3 linked regions of the Drosophila melanogaster genome follow. The protein of the gene in region 2 interacts with the protein of the main gene of each other region in a pairwise test. Each region holds a gene or a part of one and is shown on either strand. Other genes may lie near its edges.

Region 1 (4,378 bases), on a different chromosome or scaffold from region 2:
TGTAATTTATATGGTTTCTCCGTTTGTGCTTCACCACTCTCACCTTATGCATATAGGGGAAAAACAGAAGGCGCAACTTCCTGCCCACGTAGGCGTTGTCCACTGCGAAGTAGTACTTGAGCTTGGCTACGGGCACCCACTTCTCGAACTGATTCTCCATGATCTGCTTGCCCTGATCCGCTAGTTTCTGACCGTACTGCATAGCCATGTCTTGCACGATGGGCTGCTGGAACATGGCGAACTGTGGGTACTGTCCAGTGGGTGGAGCTACAGGCTGAGGTGCTCCTATTCCGTAGGTGGGTGGCCCAGCCGCCTGTTGGGGAGGTGGTGCTCCATATCCGTATCCGGGCTGCTGTTGTGGTGGCTGCTGAATGTGCTGCGAGGGCTGGCCGAGATTGGGGTCGAAGCCATAGCTGTTGACCGGGGCCGGAGCAGGTGCTCCGTACATATTGGGATCTAGTATTCCGGGGCCGGTGGGCGGGGCCATGAAGGTGGCGCCACCGCCCATCATCGGAGCCGAGGGTCCCATGGCGTTAACATCACTCACACGCTTCGGCGGCCTTGGGCGACCGGCAGCTGAGGCTATTTTGGGACAGAGCAACCATTAGTTAGTGCCGGAGGATCTAAACGATACAACTGGGAAGCGGGGAACACAGGCACTCAAGCTACACACGCATCACGGAACGGAAACGCACAGCAGGCATAGAAACTGGGGAGCAGGATGCAGTGGAAGCCAGGAGCGGCGCACAAAACGGGGTAACGTGTAACGTAAACAGTGACAGCACTCCGGATTCCGATTCCGGTCAGCGGCGGGTGGGGAAATTCCGGAGTGGCTGCACCGGACATCCTTCAGGTATACTTGCTTGCGTAGCCTGATCCTTACAGTTCTCCCACTTACGGTTCCGCATACCCGGATTTGGATTGTAGTTCATCTTTCTGGATCAGTAAATTGTATTCAAAATTTCGCTTTTTAACACATCACCATAAGCATTTTGTTGTGTGACCGGAGTTTAGTGTTGCCAAATACCAAAGCATGACCGCCTACCAGAATGTTTGCACTCCGATAGATAAAATACTAAAAGTTACAAAAAAAAATTATAGATATCTTTGTTTTTTTTTTTTTTTGTATTATATTTTGTATATTTGTACATTTCTCTATTTTTATAACGTTTACTCCGTAAGTTTACTTATATGTAAATTTATACACTATTTTATTTATACACTAAACTTTCTTTAAGACAATTTCCTATTGTTCATCTTATTGCGATATATGGATTTATGTGCCAATGGATGTCTCAGTACTCAAATAACTGATTTCTTGCATTGGTGGTAACAGAAATATCATCAAGTCAGCCATTATATAAAAGAACATATGTAGATGAAAATTTAAATTGATTGTATTTTAAAGATAAAATATTTTCATAGATTTTGGAGAGTGGATTTTTTTATTAAACTATGCGTTTAAGTGGAAAAGGGCTATAAACAAAACGAGTTGAATAGCAGAGTGACCATGTGAGTTTTGACAGTGCCATCTGGCAACACTGTCGGCTTACTTTAATTTTTAGCGCATTCCGCAGCGCAAAACAAAACAAATTTGATTAGTTAAATAATTGACTGCAGTTCACTTTATTGTTAAGTCAAAGTTATGGAGAACGCACTTAAACGGCGATCTTTAACGCTCAGCACGCGTCTGCTGCATAAGCGCCACAGTGGTAAGGATTTCCAAGCTCGAAAAATCAGGAATATCCATAAAACAATCCTTTGTTAATAGCTTCACCACAGAGCGTACGCACAGGGCACAATGTAAGTGTATCCGTGGACACTCCCGGCTCGCCCAACTCCTCAGCAGTAGTGGGAATCACGTCCGACCTGGAGAGCACTCCACCACACAAACACAAGCCCAGCTTGGACGACAGTGTGGACTTCTCGCCCCGTTTGGACATCAGCCTTTCGCCCAGCTGCCTCTTCTCCCAGACACTGGCCACCGAAAGTCCGGAGGTGGGCTGGCGCTGGAACCGAAGCAGCAATGCCACCACGGACAGTGGCTTCGACTCCGCGGAAATAGGCAGTTTGAGCCAGCGCGAACGACGCCGGCAGATAGCCTTTAAGGGCGTCGAGGATAGACGCAGCCAACTGGACAATGAGCAGTGGCGGGCACAGCAGATGCGGGCTAATGTTCTTCTTAAGGAGCGCTGTGCTAGGCTCAATAGCCAGTTGGAGCAAATAGCTGTGTCCGAACCAGTAATGCCACTAAAAACTCCTAAAGCTCCGTCACCTGTTGCTCCCCGCACAAGATTAACCTGCACGAAGGCTACGCCAGAGCCAGTGCTTTCCCCTGTAGCTGCCTCCGATCCAATGGCAGACTTCCTCAACGACTCGGAGACGGATCTCTTCCTGCTTGAGGCCTCCCAGCAACTGGAGTCGAAAATAGAACACCATGAACCTCCCAAATCAAGCACAAGCACCACACCCACTAGGCACCACACGGCAAAGCGACCCTCCTTCTACATGAAATTTCTGGAAGACGAAAGCGAGGGCGAGGACTGGCTAAACGCCCTAGAAGAGGCAGTGCAGCAGGCCACAATGCCGAAGAAGCCGCGCACCTCGCTGCAGCGCTACAAATCAATGCCAACCACAGGGGATTCGTGCAGCGGAGTGTCCACCCTGACCAATGTGACGGCCAATTCAAATGCCTGCACAAGTGCCTCCTCCGCATCTGGTTCAGAGCTAAGGGATACTCCGCGCATCAAACGGCACGCCAGTTCGCACGCTCTGTCCCCAGCCACATCGCATGGTAAGTGCCAGAGTGAAGTCAAACATTTCTAGACCAAAGCAAACTCATCATTTCGTTCCCTGCAGCGCGCGGCAAACTCTTTGGCAGCCGGAAATGAAACCCGATTAGGTAACCAGCCCCTGAATACAATCAGCTTCCCTTCAGCGAGTACCAATTGTGATGAGCAAAGTTAGAGTTTAAGATATTTCGTTTTGTTTCGCTTGACTTGCGTGCCCCCTTGCCTGAGCATTCTGTATACGAGTACGCTAATTGATTAATGCAGCTCCAAAGCGTCTTTGAAAATGTTAATTTAAGCCTAATTAAAAATTAATTGTAATTTAAAGCAGGACCCTTAATATTCGCATCGAAGGCCTGTGCGTTCGTTCGGCGCATGCGACTCGCCATATGTTCGGCATTATCGGGCCGCGAACGCGCCGCCCACCAGTACCACCAGTACAGGTGGCAGGACGCAGACGGACAGGTGGATACGACTGGTCGCCGACAGGCAGTGAATTGACGTCCCCCGGTTGAGCTTTCATTCACGGATAGGAAGCTCGTTGAGTGCGACAGCGTTTTAAATTAATTGAAATGTAGGCGAAGGATTTCTGTTTTAATATTCAGACTATGGTTATATATAGGTCAGTTGGATTTCTTCGCGTCTTTGAGTTGCTTGAGAAGCAGCTGATAAACCCAACAAAATTAGTATTTAATTACACGTTACCTAAGTACGCCAATTCCTCATCATCTTCGATTGTTTCAATGAATATTTCGTTTTCTTTTTTCCACTATTGATAAACCTGTTTAATATATTATTAAGCCTAATGTAAATGCTTACATTGTGCTGGTTTTTTATATATGTATGAAACATTCAAGACCCAAGCCTTAATAATTTAGTGTATACAAAAGTATTTCTTATTTTTCGTTTATATTACATAAGTTGTATTGAAAAACAAATAAAAACTGCAACTTATTTATCTCTTGAGTTATTTTTCCGGCAACCAATCAAGCAAACATTACCCAATGTTAATTTATGTGGAGTTCATAAAATTAAATTTAAAATGCAATGAGGAGTCTAAGAAGGGATTTCCCTGGAAAACAGAATTTATGGCAAATGAAATCAAAGTGTGTGAATCCCATCTCGCACTTAAAACTCGGGAGGAGGCAACAATCAAGTCGGCATGAAAAGCCGGCGAAAGTTGCCCCAGCTGTCTTCACTTTTCGCTTGGCCTGCAGTTTAAAGGCTTGGGTGCTCGAGGCTTTATGAACCTATTTGGGCTAAGGTCAAAGTTGAAGCCCTTTCGCAGCCATTACGCGTAAGAGGCAATTGCGCCCATGTTTATGAATAGTCCTCCTCCAGTCGTCAGTAGTCCCTTCGCCATTCGAACCGCAGGAGCAAGTGACTCCATTCAGCCGAATCGTGCCATTCAGCCGAAAGTCAGCGAAAGTCAAGTATGCTGCCATATGTTTACGGAGCGCAGCATAAACCAATGACAAAACACTAGCTACAACTTAGCACGGAATGGTGGGTGGCTAATGGCAGCGGGCGTCCAAACTGGTGACGTCTGCGGGCAGCCAAAGCCGCTGCAGAAGCCAAGCCAACCGAGA
Region 2 (4,046 bases):
TAAGGGCGGATCCCTTAAAGAATCACAGGCCACATTGAACAAAGTCTTTGCCCTGTACCAGACCAGCTTGGATATGTGCAACGATCTGAATCAGTGCTACCAACCGATTATCTGCGCCCAGTTCTTCATTTCATCTCTGCAACTCTGCATGCTGGGATATCTGTTCTCCATTACTTTTGCCCAGACAGAGGGCGTCTACTATGCCTCATTCATAGCCACAATCATTATACAAGCCTATATCTACTGCTACTGCGGGGAGAACCTGAAGACGGAGAGTGCCAGCTTCGAGTGGGCCATCTACGACAGTCCGTGGCACGAGAGTTTGGGTGCTGGTGGAGCCTCTACCTCGATCTGCCGATCCTTGCTGATCAGCATGATGCGGGCTCATCGGGGATTCCGCATTACGGGATACTTTTTCGAGGCAAACATGGAGGCCTTCTCATCGGTGGGTGAATCATTTCCATTGTACAATACATGGATTTACATGAATACTCTTTTCTAACTTTCCGTTTTTAGATTGTTCGCACGGCGATGTCCTACATCACAATGCTGAGATCATTCTCCTAAATGTGGTTTGACCACAAGGCTTTGGATTGATTTTTGTGCAATTTTTGTTTTATTGCTGAGCATGCGTTGCCGTACGACATTTAACAATCGATCTTACGTAATTTACATATGATAATCTCACATATTGTTCGTTAAGCACTAAGTAGAATGTAGAATTTGAATTGGCTGTAGAAATGCACAGATGAAGCACGAAGGTAGTGAGATTTTTCAGGGGCAGGAATAAAATGGAAATGATTATGGGTGGGATAAAGGATCTCCAACGAGCAGCTGCTCTCTCTCTCTCTCTCTCTCTCCTGTCTGTTTCTGGTTCACTTTCGGCCAGTTCGGCACTGACCCACAACGAAATGATTGCCAACTTGATCATAACGATGAAGAATTAAAACACGATTCTACAGCGGAGCGGATTACTTGAAGAATCTTCCGGGAGCGGCGGCGGCGCGAACTGGTGGCGGTGTGGGTATGTGGGCTCCTTCGGCGCGGTATCCGTTCTCATCAGCAATGTAGGTGATGGTGTAGACCACGCCATCGGGTCCGGTGTACGAGTAGGAGCCCTGCATCACCTGTAAGTGCAGGGAAATAAAGAGTTTCAGCACCACCGAAAAATAGGCTACAATATGCTGAATGCTGCACTGAAAAGCACACTAACCTGAGCCTCGATCTGACTGCCCGGGTTCTTCAAATAGCCAGCCTCATCCGCTCGGATTCCGTTGCTTGTCTCGTAGCTACAAGTTTTAAAAATTTATAATAATACTCATTAGAAACACTTAAAAAAGAAAAAAAAACACATGGATTTAAATTTAAAATCCTTGATTTTTTTTGATTCCAAAGAGCTTCTCACATATGAAGATATTAAAAAATTTTAAAGCTATTAAAATGCAATGTTTTGTAGGATTCTCTATATGATCCTAATTGAACTTAATTTCAGATTGTTCGATTTGTTTTTATCCATTCCAAATCCTGAAATTGATCCTACCATCCCTGGATCCAACTTACTTGTACTGATAGGAGCCATCGGGATTCAGGTCGAAGTTCTGCTTGAGAATCACCGCGTTCGCGTCGAAGGAGTTGCCGCGTGGTGGGGGAAGTCCGCGTTGTGGCTGCGCCTGAATGAAACTGAGGCAGCAGAGGGCCAAGACGAGGGCTGCGGCGGAGGCGTGGGTGAGCGACATGACCTTTAGTGGGCAAAAGAGAAGATGGGGGGAACCGCGCGGTGGTACGGTGGTTAAATAGAGTCATAAGTAAGTACTGCAGATGAGGTGCGGTGTTTGGTGTTTGGCGTATGGTTTTCAGTGTTTGGCGCTCGATTGAGATGCCGCCGGCGTTGTCTTTGAATGTCAAACTCGTTGCATGGCAATTAGTATGTGATATACTCCGATTGGCTTTTGCGATTTGAAAGTTCTGCGAAATTATGATGATTATGATGGTGGAGGTCGTGGGAAAAATATCCAAAAGGGGCTTGAAATCCAGGAGATGACTGTGATCTTTTGAATTTAAACTTTGGTTATCCTTTATGCAGGATCAACTCCACTTGTCTCTGCACTCGCTCGCAAGTTGTAGCTTATGTGTCTGATCTATGTATCTGTGTGTGATCCTGTCTTCAAGGAGTCACCACCGCAACTAGAACTTAAACTCACTTCGGATTCGCGACTTGATAGCGGGTACTGCGCTGGGAGGCTCGTCAAAAGTGCTTTGACTTGGCTGCAGTTGCCACAAACGTTTTTATACCGAAATCGCATTCACTGCAGCTCACAGCAGAGCAGCGGCAGAAGCAGCATCCGCAGCCAGATGCAGTGCAGCAGCCCAGATTTGCAGATTTGGCGGCTGGAAGGGCAGGAGGAGCCGACGACGAGCGGAGGCCGAGCGGGATTCGAAACAAACAGTGTTTGTCTGCCTGACAGCAACAGAATCGGAAGAGCTGCCGTCGCTGCCAGTGCACCACGTAGCGTATGCGCAACGAGTTTCAAATGCAAATGGGCGTTGCGCATACGCCGCGTATGCAGCTTACAGCTCACAGTTCTCCGCGGTGTAATTTATGTGAATTAGCAATGCGAACTTCATTTGATTAGTGCCCCCGCTGGATGCTCGACTGGATGCAATAATTCGTTAAGTCAAATATTAATTAAAAGATTACAGATGTTGCAATTGGTTTCGATTTGATGAATTGGCCATTTGGCCACATGCCTGCCAATGAGTCGAGATAGAATCTCTGCCGACTGACATTTGAATGGGCCGCGGGATGGGGCGTAGCCAGCTTGTCCATTTCAATGCATTGTTAAAGAGTATTATTTGTCTTTGTTTTCCCTATGTAGACCGGGTGAGCCTGCCCTTTTAGGCCAATTTCGCTGACCAGGTCGACCAGGCACCACTCCCAGCTGCACCAGTAACTCGCTCCCATTTGGCACATTTTTGCCGGCCGGCTAAGGCTTAAACTAAAGAGTTTTCGGCTTAAACTTTAAACTTTTCCAGCGTGTAGGAAATGTCAGTTGCAATTCATAAAAATTACAGCAATAGCTGCTGCCAAAATCCAGCCAACTCGGCGTTGGAAGATGATCACGAACATGATGAACATCGCCCGAGATTTTTGGCCAACTCCCGCTACCCGTTGGTTTTTCCCTTTCGTTCGTTTTCCATGTTACTTGGCCAATTTCGCGGTTGCCCGCGTTTTGCTTTGGCCTTCGGGCGGCTTTTCAAATTGCAGTTTTTCGCCGAGAGGAAGAGTTGTTTGCCGCTGGCTTAGTGCATTTTTCACATTTGACATACAATTTGGCTTACTCACTTTACTACTAGCCGATGCTTTTTGCACACACTCACGGTGGCCAAGTAGTTTCCCGTGTGATGACTGATGACTGATGGATCGCGTGCGATTCGAATCCGAAACCGATATATGGACTCGTTATAAGCGCACCTCAAATGTATCTTAATTTATGCCCCTTTGTCTTCTGGAGCGTGTGTGTAGCACTATGCTAATATGCTATGCAGTTTCCTAAACATTGGCAATCAATCAGCTTGCCTAGATATTTCGGGCACTTTAAGTGATGGATTGACTGGCAGCGAATGAGAAACAAGTTTATGACGTGTCTTGGTGGGATTTTTTTCGATTGCTGGAATATTCGTATAACCGGCCCAAATCGATCTCATTACAGTGCCCCATCATCATGGGCTTTATCACTTGACCTCTGTTTTTTCTTGTTGACTTACGTTTAAGCCAAGTCGCTGAATCACAAATATGCAAATGTTGTCGCTAAGATGTGAGTGTTTTATTAAGTCACATTCTGCGCGCTTCCATAGAATTTCTTTTGTGTTTTTTCCGTTTTTTCTTTCGCTTTTGTTTTGGGTATATTTCTGTATTTTTTGGTTATGGCGTAATGGGACTGAAAGATGTTAATTCGCGGCTGCTGCGCACATTAAACGCCGGTATATAAAGTGGATGGAAGATGTGGTAAGCCAAGTCGTCCGTCGGTTCCCGCCTAGAAAGCACC
Region 3 (8,018 bases), on a different chromosome or scaffold from region 2:
GCCTCGTCCATAATCAGTATTTTATTGTGCCTTAGGATGGCTCTCGCCAGGCACACTAACTGCCTCTGGCCCACGCTAAAGTTGGAACCCCCGTCGTACATACGGCAGTTCAGTCCACCAATTAAAGTTGACACGTAGGAACGCAACTCCACATCGCCCAGAGCCTTCCACATCTCCTCGTCCGAACGCTCGTCCATGGGATCCAAGTTGTAGCGCAAAGTGCCGGAAAACAAAACCGGATCTTGGGGTATGATTGAAACCTGACTGCGCAGATCGTGCAAGCCTATATGCTCAATGTCCACGTCATCAATGCGGATCATACCCTCGTTGCAGGCCAAACGGAAGATGGACTGGATGATGGACGATTTACCGGCGCCAGTGCGCCCCACAATTCCTATTTTTTCGCGCGGTTCTATAGTGAAGTTAAGATCCTTTAACACGGGTGCTTCTTTGGGTGAGTAACGCAACTTGAAGTTTATGAACTCGATGCGTCCCTTGCTGGGCCACTCGCTCTTTGGCTTGAATTTCTCCGGCGTCTCCAGAAGTGCCTCCGACGGCTGTTCCGTATACTCGAGCACTCGCTCTACACTGGTCATCTGGTTTTCCAGCTCCGCTGTCTGCCGCATGCCCCACTGGCACATTCCAGTCATCGTGGTGGAGTGCAAAATGGCCAATCCCACGTCGCCGCTGTCGAACTCGTCCTTAAGCAGCAGAAAGCTGAATGTTACCGCCGTCATATAGACGATACACAGCACGTCTGACCACAAGGCAAAGGCACGAGTGCAGGAAAGGAAGAGAAACCAGGCGGAGGTGTTGGTGTTCTGGTACTCATGGAACTCCTGCTCCAAGGCGCTTTGGGCCTGCAAAGCGCGTATGGTGGTGAGACCCTGGAAGGTTTGGTTAGTCAGCGAGAAAACAGGACTGCGAGCTGGAAAAAAAAGAAATGCAAAAAAGGGCTTTAGGTTTTTGAACTCATCAAAAATTGGAAATATAACAAAAATATGACTATTTGCCAATTCTAATAAAACCTTACTGTTGTACTGAGCCGCAATTACACAATTCATACTTACATATAGACTCCAAGCGCTTAACACTGCGACTGGTGTTTACGTAGAGGTAGCGTATCATGCCCAGAATAACACCAATGATGGCAGCTGGAATCAGGAGCCAATAGTTTGCAATCGCCACAATAATGACAACGCCAGAAACATCGATAATGAAGGCGAGGCAGTCCAGCAGTGTGTGCGGCAGATCCGTATCCACTGTCCTTATATCCTTGGAGAAGCGATTCAGAATTCGTCCTGAGGAGTTCGTATTGAAGAAGTACATGCTGGCCCGAGTGATTCCCCGGAAGAGCCTGTCGTGCAGGTGCAGAGAGATGCGCAGGCACATTTTGAAGAAGCCAAAGGTGCGAATCAGGTAGACTATCAGTGTGGCGCCCAGTATGGTGGCATAGAAGAGTACAAGCTCCTGACGAATGCCTGCCTGGATATCGCTAGCTAATAAAGGCGCTATATATGGATCCGTGGCATTAATCGGCAGCGTATCATTGGCAATCGTCGTGTCGGTTTCGTTTAGTAGCGTTGTAGTGCGATTAACAGCTATTTGCTCTTCCCAAATGACCCTGGAATATGCGTTTATTAATTAGTAATAGAAATCCAAAATGAATTTTTAAATAGTTTACCATCTAGACAAGAAGTAATCCACTCCGGTTAACATAATCCTGGCGCAGACGAACAAAGAAATAACAATGCCCAACAAAAAGGTACTATCCAAGGCTTTGATGTATGAGGCGTAGACGTGCATTTTGATGGAACCCACAGTTTGCTGCTCCTGGTTGACGTCCTCTACATGCTCGTCCGGTCGAAGCAGCTGGTTGTGCTGATGCTCCATGCTCTTCTCGGAATCGCTACGAGACAAATAGCTGCTGACACTGTGAGTATCGATGCCGCTCTCGTCGTGCTGCGTCTGCTCTAGGAATTGAAACTGGCGGGAGCGCTGGAGTTCCTGGTAGCTGCCCTGGGCCATAATCTTTCCGGACCCCATCAACAGCAGGTGCTCCACATCGAACAGATATTGCACCTGATGGGTGACTAGAATTCTAATCTTGTTGGACAGAAAGTCGCGTATACAGCGATCGAAGATGTGCTTGCCAACGTGGGTATCCACAGCAGACAGAGGGTCATCCAGAAGATATATGTCCGCCTTGCGGTAGACTGCTCGAGCTAAACTCACTCGCGCCTTTTGCCCACCACTGAGACTCACTCCTCGCTCTCCAACCACTGTCAAATCTCCGCGAGGCAACAACTCCATATCCCGCTCCAAGCCACACACCTTCACCACCTTCTTGTACCGTCTCTCGTTGTAATCCTCAACAAAAACAATGTTGTCTCGAATAGTTCCCTCGAAGACCCAGCTTTCCTGTGAGGCATACGAGATCTTGCCGTGGACCATGGCTTCACCCTTATCGATGCCGACTTCGCCAAGCAGGACGTTCAAAAAGCTGGACTTGCCGGCACCCACAGGTCCAACGACAGCAGCCAGAGTTTGGTCCTTTATGTCCGTGCTAAAGTCCTCGATGGCACAGTTGGCATGACCATCACTGGTGTCCCAGGAAGCAGATACATTTTTAAGCACCACACATTTTTTCGTTGCCTCCGGATCATAATCCCTTAGACGATTGTGGTGGACTTGGCCATTGGACAGCAAGGAACCGTTTAACTCTACGTTCTTTTGTTTGTCCTTTTTGCTGATTTTGCGCTTGTTTTTGCCTGTTTGTTGATTTGCTTCCAAGTTTATGGGCACCTCCGCTTTGTCTCCGTCTAGTAGAAAATCTTTGCAACGTTTCGCCGAGACCAAGGCCTCGGCAATAAACGTGATAGACATAGGCCAAAAGGTTACCATAGAATCGTTAAGCATGTTGAAATAGGATGAAACTGTGTAAACCTTTTGGGCGGTCAAGGGATCACCAAGGTAAACGTAGGAGCAGAGGGCCAGGAACACAGATAGCGGCGATATCATGGAGGTGCAACCAAGAGCGGCATGGATGTAGGCAGTGCCTCGAATGGCCTTCACCTCCTTGAGGCGAACTTCGGCGATGACCCGGGCAAAGCTTTTCTCCCACGCATACATCTTGATCACCTGAATGCCCTGGATGATCTCGTTCATCAGCTTGACACGCATATCCGTTCGCTCTGCCGTCATTTGGCGATAGTAGGCGGCTTTCTTGGCTGCCCACGCTTGCAGTGGGATAAAGCTGAGCATAAAGGACACACCGATCACAGCCGATATACCGATTTCACGGTACATGAGAAAGCCAATCAGTATCGACTCCATCGGCCCTTTCCATGTATCATGAAGGAAACACAGCGCCACGTCGAAGCGCCCAAGGTCGTTGGACAAAATATTGATTGCTCTTCCTCGCAGACCATCGTTACTGCTGCTCTTCGAGACCTGCAGGACCTTGCGGTAGATGAGACCCGAAAGGGCCAACCGCAGCTTGGTGCCCACTTGAAATATGTAGAAGATGAAAGGGTGGAACGTTATCACAGGCACCAGCATGCAAATCACAATTCCCATGGCATACAAATATGCTGTGTTTTCACTGATATCCGTCTGATTTGTGGCAAAGTAACCGACCAGACCGCCCAGGAATAGCGGCATGAGAGATCTGAACGAACAAAAAGTAAATGGGATTAGCACGGGAGTTAAATTAGCATCCGTTTCTACCTACTTGCAAATCGTTTCGCTTATGGAGAACGCCAGCCCCATGGGCACGAAAATCTTGCCATATGCTCGAAGGATCATCCTCACCACACTGGGATTACTTCGTTTTAGCTCATCCTCCCACAGTTCCGCAAATTTGTTCGTCACTCTTTCACTATCCAGGGTCTTTCTATGTTGATACAGCTCCTCGTCCGTCAGCGGTCCCTGGAGGCCTCGCTTGAACAGGTCTCGCATCCACCTGAAAGATTAAAAGGTCAGAGTAGTAACACAGAAACCTACAGTATAACTACTTTAAAGCACTTAAATCCTGATATCCTTATCTTAGTTTAATTGCAATTAAACTAAAGGCGCACATGTTAAGGCTTACGATGGCAATACAGTAGTACTACAGAAGACCTTTAAATGTTCTGATAATGAGTGAGACAAGGTCATATTCGGTTGTTAGGCCCTAAGATTTTATACGATTTCCTACTCTTTATTGGTGTTTGATTAAGTAAAGTCTATGTAACGAAGACCCCAATTTAGATACAGTAGGCGCTATTTTGCTTAAGGGAACTCCTCTGATAAAACATAGACAAGGCCTGCAAGCGACATCATTTTCTTGGGAATTTCGTCAGTCCAAGATTTGCGAAAACCCCCGGAGGCATTGTTTGATTACATTTTAATAAAACGCTTGTACGTGTGTAGACACTTGCACATATCTATATATGCATGTATAGTGTGGAAACTGGGTAGTAAGACAGTATAAATGTTAATTTGAATGTTCAGTAATGTTGCTTATTCCATGTCAGCAGATTATCGTCCAAATTAACTAACAATAAAATTATGAATGTAGACATGTAGTATTTGTGAACATCAACACCAAATGGGCGTTAATTGATTCGCGTTAATCATTTGAATATTGGATCTATGGGCGACTCGATTCTATCGAGGCAAAATACAGGTTATAAAAATCCAAATTGGTTTACAGACTTTGTTGTCTTAAAATCACCATAAACTCGGATCGGAATCGTACGCTCAGGGTACGCAAAACTAAGACCAATTGATTCAGTCTTCTGACGAATTACTTTTCTTTATGTACCTACTGAAAAATCATGAGAAAACGGGCAATCGAACTCCACGATCTTAAATTAAAACCGCGCTCATGTGACGGCCCTGCCTGGAATCGCTAAGACTTTTTCATAAATTACAATTCAGTCTTATTGTGTACATACATTGTAAATTGTCTAGCCGTAGAGCGAACATTTGAATATTCGTAGTAAATGTGACATTGAATAGTGAATTAAAATTTCAGCCTTATCAGCTCTAGTCAGACTATGAACGCTTTGTTTATTGGAGGAAATCGTAATAAACCCCTGGTGCCAGATCCATCTGGTTGCAATTGGCAAGCGTTCATTGTCGACGCCAGATAAAGATGTAACCTTGTGGCCCGCGGTGACATTTAATAAAACTGTGCCATCGAATTGCCATTCTCATTATAACGGGAACCTTATCAAGCACACCAAACTTATCGGTCCAAAAAGGCTAATACAACTAAACTAATTATACGATAGGTGCTGCCCTGATACGAACCTGATACTACAATATGGTGAGAACACGTGCTACAGAATAGTACATTTGATTTACCGTAAGTGATATTCTCATGACTAATACAGGAGTGACTCCAAGTCTGTTTTCATGTTTTGATTAATTCTACATATCCACACGTTTGTAGTTAAACTCACCAGAAGCTCCATTGTGAGAAGAAGTTGGCTTTGGTGAAGGGATTCTTTGGGCGCACCACCTTCCTCCTGGTGCGGTTCATAACTTTGGGATGGGTACTGGTTCTAAGGTGGCCGGGATCGGGGGTTTACCGTTACGTTGCGGCACTGATTCACTGGCTTTCTCCGCTCCACTCCCCCCTGTCCAACGCTCTCCTGTCGAATTGGATGTTGAAAATCAATAATGCATAGCCGGCAACAACAAATCGGTTTGTCGCTTTCGGTTTATACAATGTACATAGCTATGTACAAATTTGTTGTCTAGGTCGAGGTCAGCAGTGATTTATCCACCGTTATCCACATTTACCGTTATTTGCGCGAGCAGCAGTAACAAAGAACTGGCTACTGCGTCGGAGATGAGTTGTAATTTTGCCGGGTTTTTGGTATATATATTCGTTGTGCTATATGCTAATTAACAGACGTCTGGCACAACGTTCACAATCTGGTCAACACTAGGAGCTATGGGAATTTACACTAATATTACGCGAAATGAGCACCCGCACGGAACAACAAAAAAAACCTACTGAGCTGGGCTAAAGAAATAGCTCTTCATTTATACCCGAGCGCGAGAGAGTGCTCGCAGCGTTGCCACCTAGTCGCATTTTATACCCTTTAAAAGAAGAGTTAAGAGAGGTGTTCTGAGTCCGTCAAATTTTTTGTCACATGGTAATGGCATTTGTTTTCTACCTACTAAATAATCTTAAAAACAGATGACATATTCTTTTGAAATATGTAATCTTCAGAAGGTAAAAATAATATGTTAATTTGCGCTATGATCTGCATCTTCATAAGCAGTAGGAGGGCAAATAGTGAAGCACTGATTTCAACACGGTATCTCTAGGCCGACGCACCGTTGAAGTGCACTTGCTTTTCAGTGCTTGTCCACGGATAATAACAGTGATTTATATAGTGTTTGTATTTGTCCCTTCTTTGCAACGAAAGTGGTTGGAACCAGCCATAAAAGTTATAAACATATTGATCATTTACTTGTTGAATAATTGTTTGCAAATATCAAGTTCCCTTGGCAACGCACATGGGCATTTAGCTTAAAAACATATGATTTCCAAAGATCATTTTTTAACTGCATATACGATCATATGCTTATATTTATAATAATTGAATACCAACCCGATTCGATTGCAATTAACCATCTTAAAATCCAAACATAAGTTTACCTTGAGGCCACGGTGCACCAATCCCCTTTAAAAAACGGCCATGGTAGAGAGCGCTTCTACAAATTCAGAGAGACTGTGGGCAATTGCCGAGCGTTGTGAAATCACTTATTTATGTTTGAGAGGCGGATCTTTCGGCGGGTGGCGAAACAATCTTCTTGATCGAGTTCTAAGGAGATAAAAAATAGGTTGGCGACTACCACCATAAACCAAAGTAGACATTATTTACATCTAATATGATGACCATTTATTGTGTTATAATTAGGGATTAGCATTTCGTGTTCTTGCCGATTAGTTGTTCTCATGAAACGTAAGCAAGGTTGAAAATCGAACAGGATTCACTTAGATAATGACAAACAGCATGCCCATTTAGTCCTCGATGTACTCAAAGGGCTCTGGGGGCTCCGGCTCCTTTTCCTCGTCGTTCATCGGTCCAAATGCGGCAACTGGCTCAACGAGCTCCTGGTCCTCTGCTTTGCCAGTGTGCTGGAATACAATAATTCCACCGATAGTGACATCCTTCAGCGGCTCATACGACTGGCCATCAATAACGCTAAGGACCTTCAGTTGCTGGCGAAGAACGCGGGCGGGATTCTGCAGGATTTCGGAGGTCGGCTCTGGCTCCTTCTTCTCCTTCTTGTCCTTCTCCTTATCCTTATCCTTTTCGCTGCTGGTGCCAGCTGCCTCCTTTTCCTTATCCTCTTCCTTTTTCTTTTCCTTCTCATCCTTCTTCTTGGGTTTCTCATCCGTTACCATCTTCTCATCGGCCTTGGCTTCTTCGTCCTTCTTGACAGCAGCACCCTCCTTGCTGTCCTCGTCCACATCCATCTTCTCATCCTCTTTTTTGTCGGCATTCTCGCGTCTCTTCTGGCGGGCGGCAATGGACAGAACTGCGGTGGCCACCTTCTCGCGCTCCTCGCTCTTCTTCTCCTCCAGTGGGGCGGGATATGCGTATAACGAGGGCTTGGCCGCCGACTTGTACTCCATCTTGGGCATTTTCAGATCGGAGTTCAGGCCGATCACACAGGTGGGTGTGAAGGCAAGGGAAAGGGTGTGGGCCAGGGGGAACCAGTACCAGTACTGGGTGAAAGCCAGCATGCCCACCACTGCCTGCAGGTTGGTGTGTCCTGTACGGGACTGCAGGGACAGAGTAGCGTTTCGGCCACCAGCATCAATAATACCTGGAAATAGTCAATGCCTAATTAGAAAGATCTGGAAAGGACGATTACTAATTATAAATCAATTCCTACAAAAATACCTATAGTCGTTCGCTTAGTTAAAAATGGAATATTTATAATTTTGAGTATCTACTAATCTTATCTCGAAGCTTGGCGGGAAAACTACGGAAACCAATGTTTAA

Evidence for each region.
Region 1: the proteins of Cpr47Ea (region 2) and CG6425 interact in a two-hybrid assay, tested with the Drosophila melanogaster proteins (one large-scale study listed by BioGRID).
Region 3: the proteins of Cpr47Ea (region 2) and rdog interact in a two-hybrid assay, tested with the Drosophila melanogaster proteins (one large-scale study listed by BioGRID).

The regions. Positions count from the first base shown.
Region 1 is NT_033777.3:26,714,532-26,718,909, reverse strand, and holds CG6425 (uncharacterized protein), read left to right. Parts: upstream 1-1,520; 5' UTR 1,521-1,645; coding exon 1,646-1,712; intron 1,713-1,771; coding exon 1,772-2,794; intron 2,795-2,859; coding exon 2,860-2,891; 3' UTR 2,892-3,745; downstream 3,746-4,378. Other genes in the region: Yif1 (Yip1-interacting factor 1), read right to left, coding at 44-582, 884-932.
Region 2 is NT_033778.4:11,251,156-11,255,201, forward strand, and holds Cpr47Ea (cuticular protein 47Ea), read right to left. Parts: upstream 2,244-4,046; 5' UTR 2,202-2,243; intron 1,740-2,201; 5' UTR 1,737-1,739; coding exon 1,561-1,736; intron 1,290-1,560; coding exon 1,214-1,289; intron 1,128-1,213; coding exon 972-1,127; 3' UTR 596-971; downstream 1-595. Other genes in the region: Or47a (odorant receptor 47a), read left to right, coding at 1-445, 517-567.
Region 3 is NT_033777.3:29,156,123-29,164,140, reverse strand, and holds the start of rdog (red dog mine), read right to left. Parts: upstream 6,020-8,018; 5' UTR 5,794-6,019; exon of another isoform or gene 5,643-5,793; 5' UTR 5,531-5,642; coding exon 5,451-5,530; intron 3,965-5,450; coding exon 3,734-3,964; intron 3,671-3,733; coding exon 1,685-3,670; intron 1,625-1,684; coding exon 1,071-1,624; intron 929-1,070; coding exon 1-928. Other genes in the region: Rpn2 (regulatory particle non-ATPase 2), read right to left, coding at 7,028-7,839.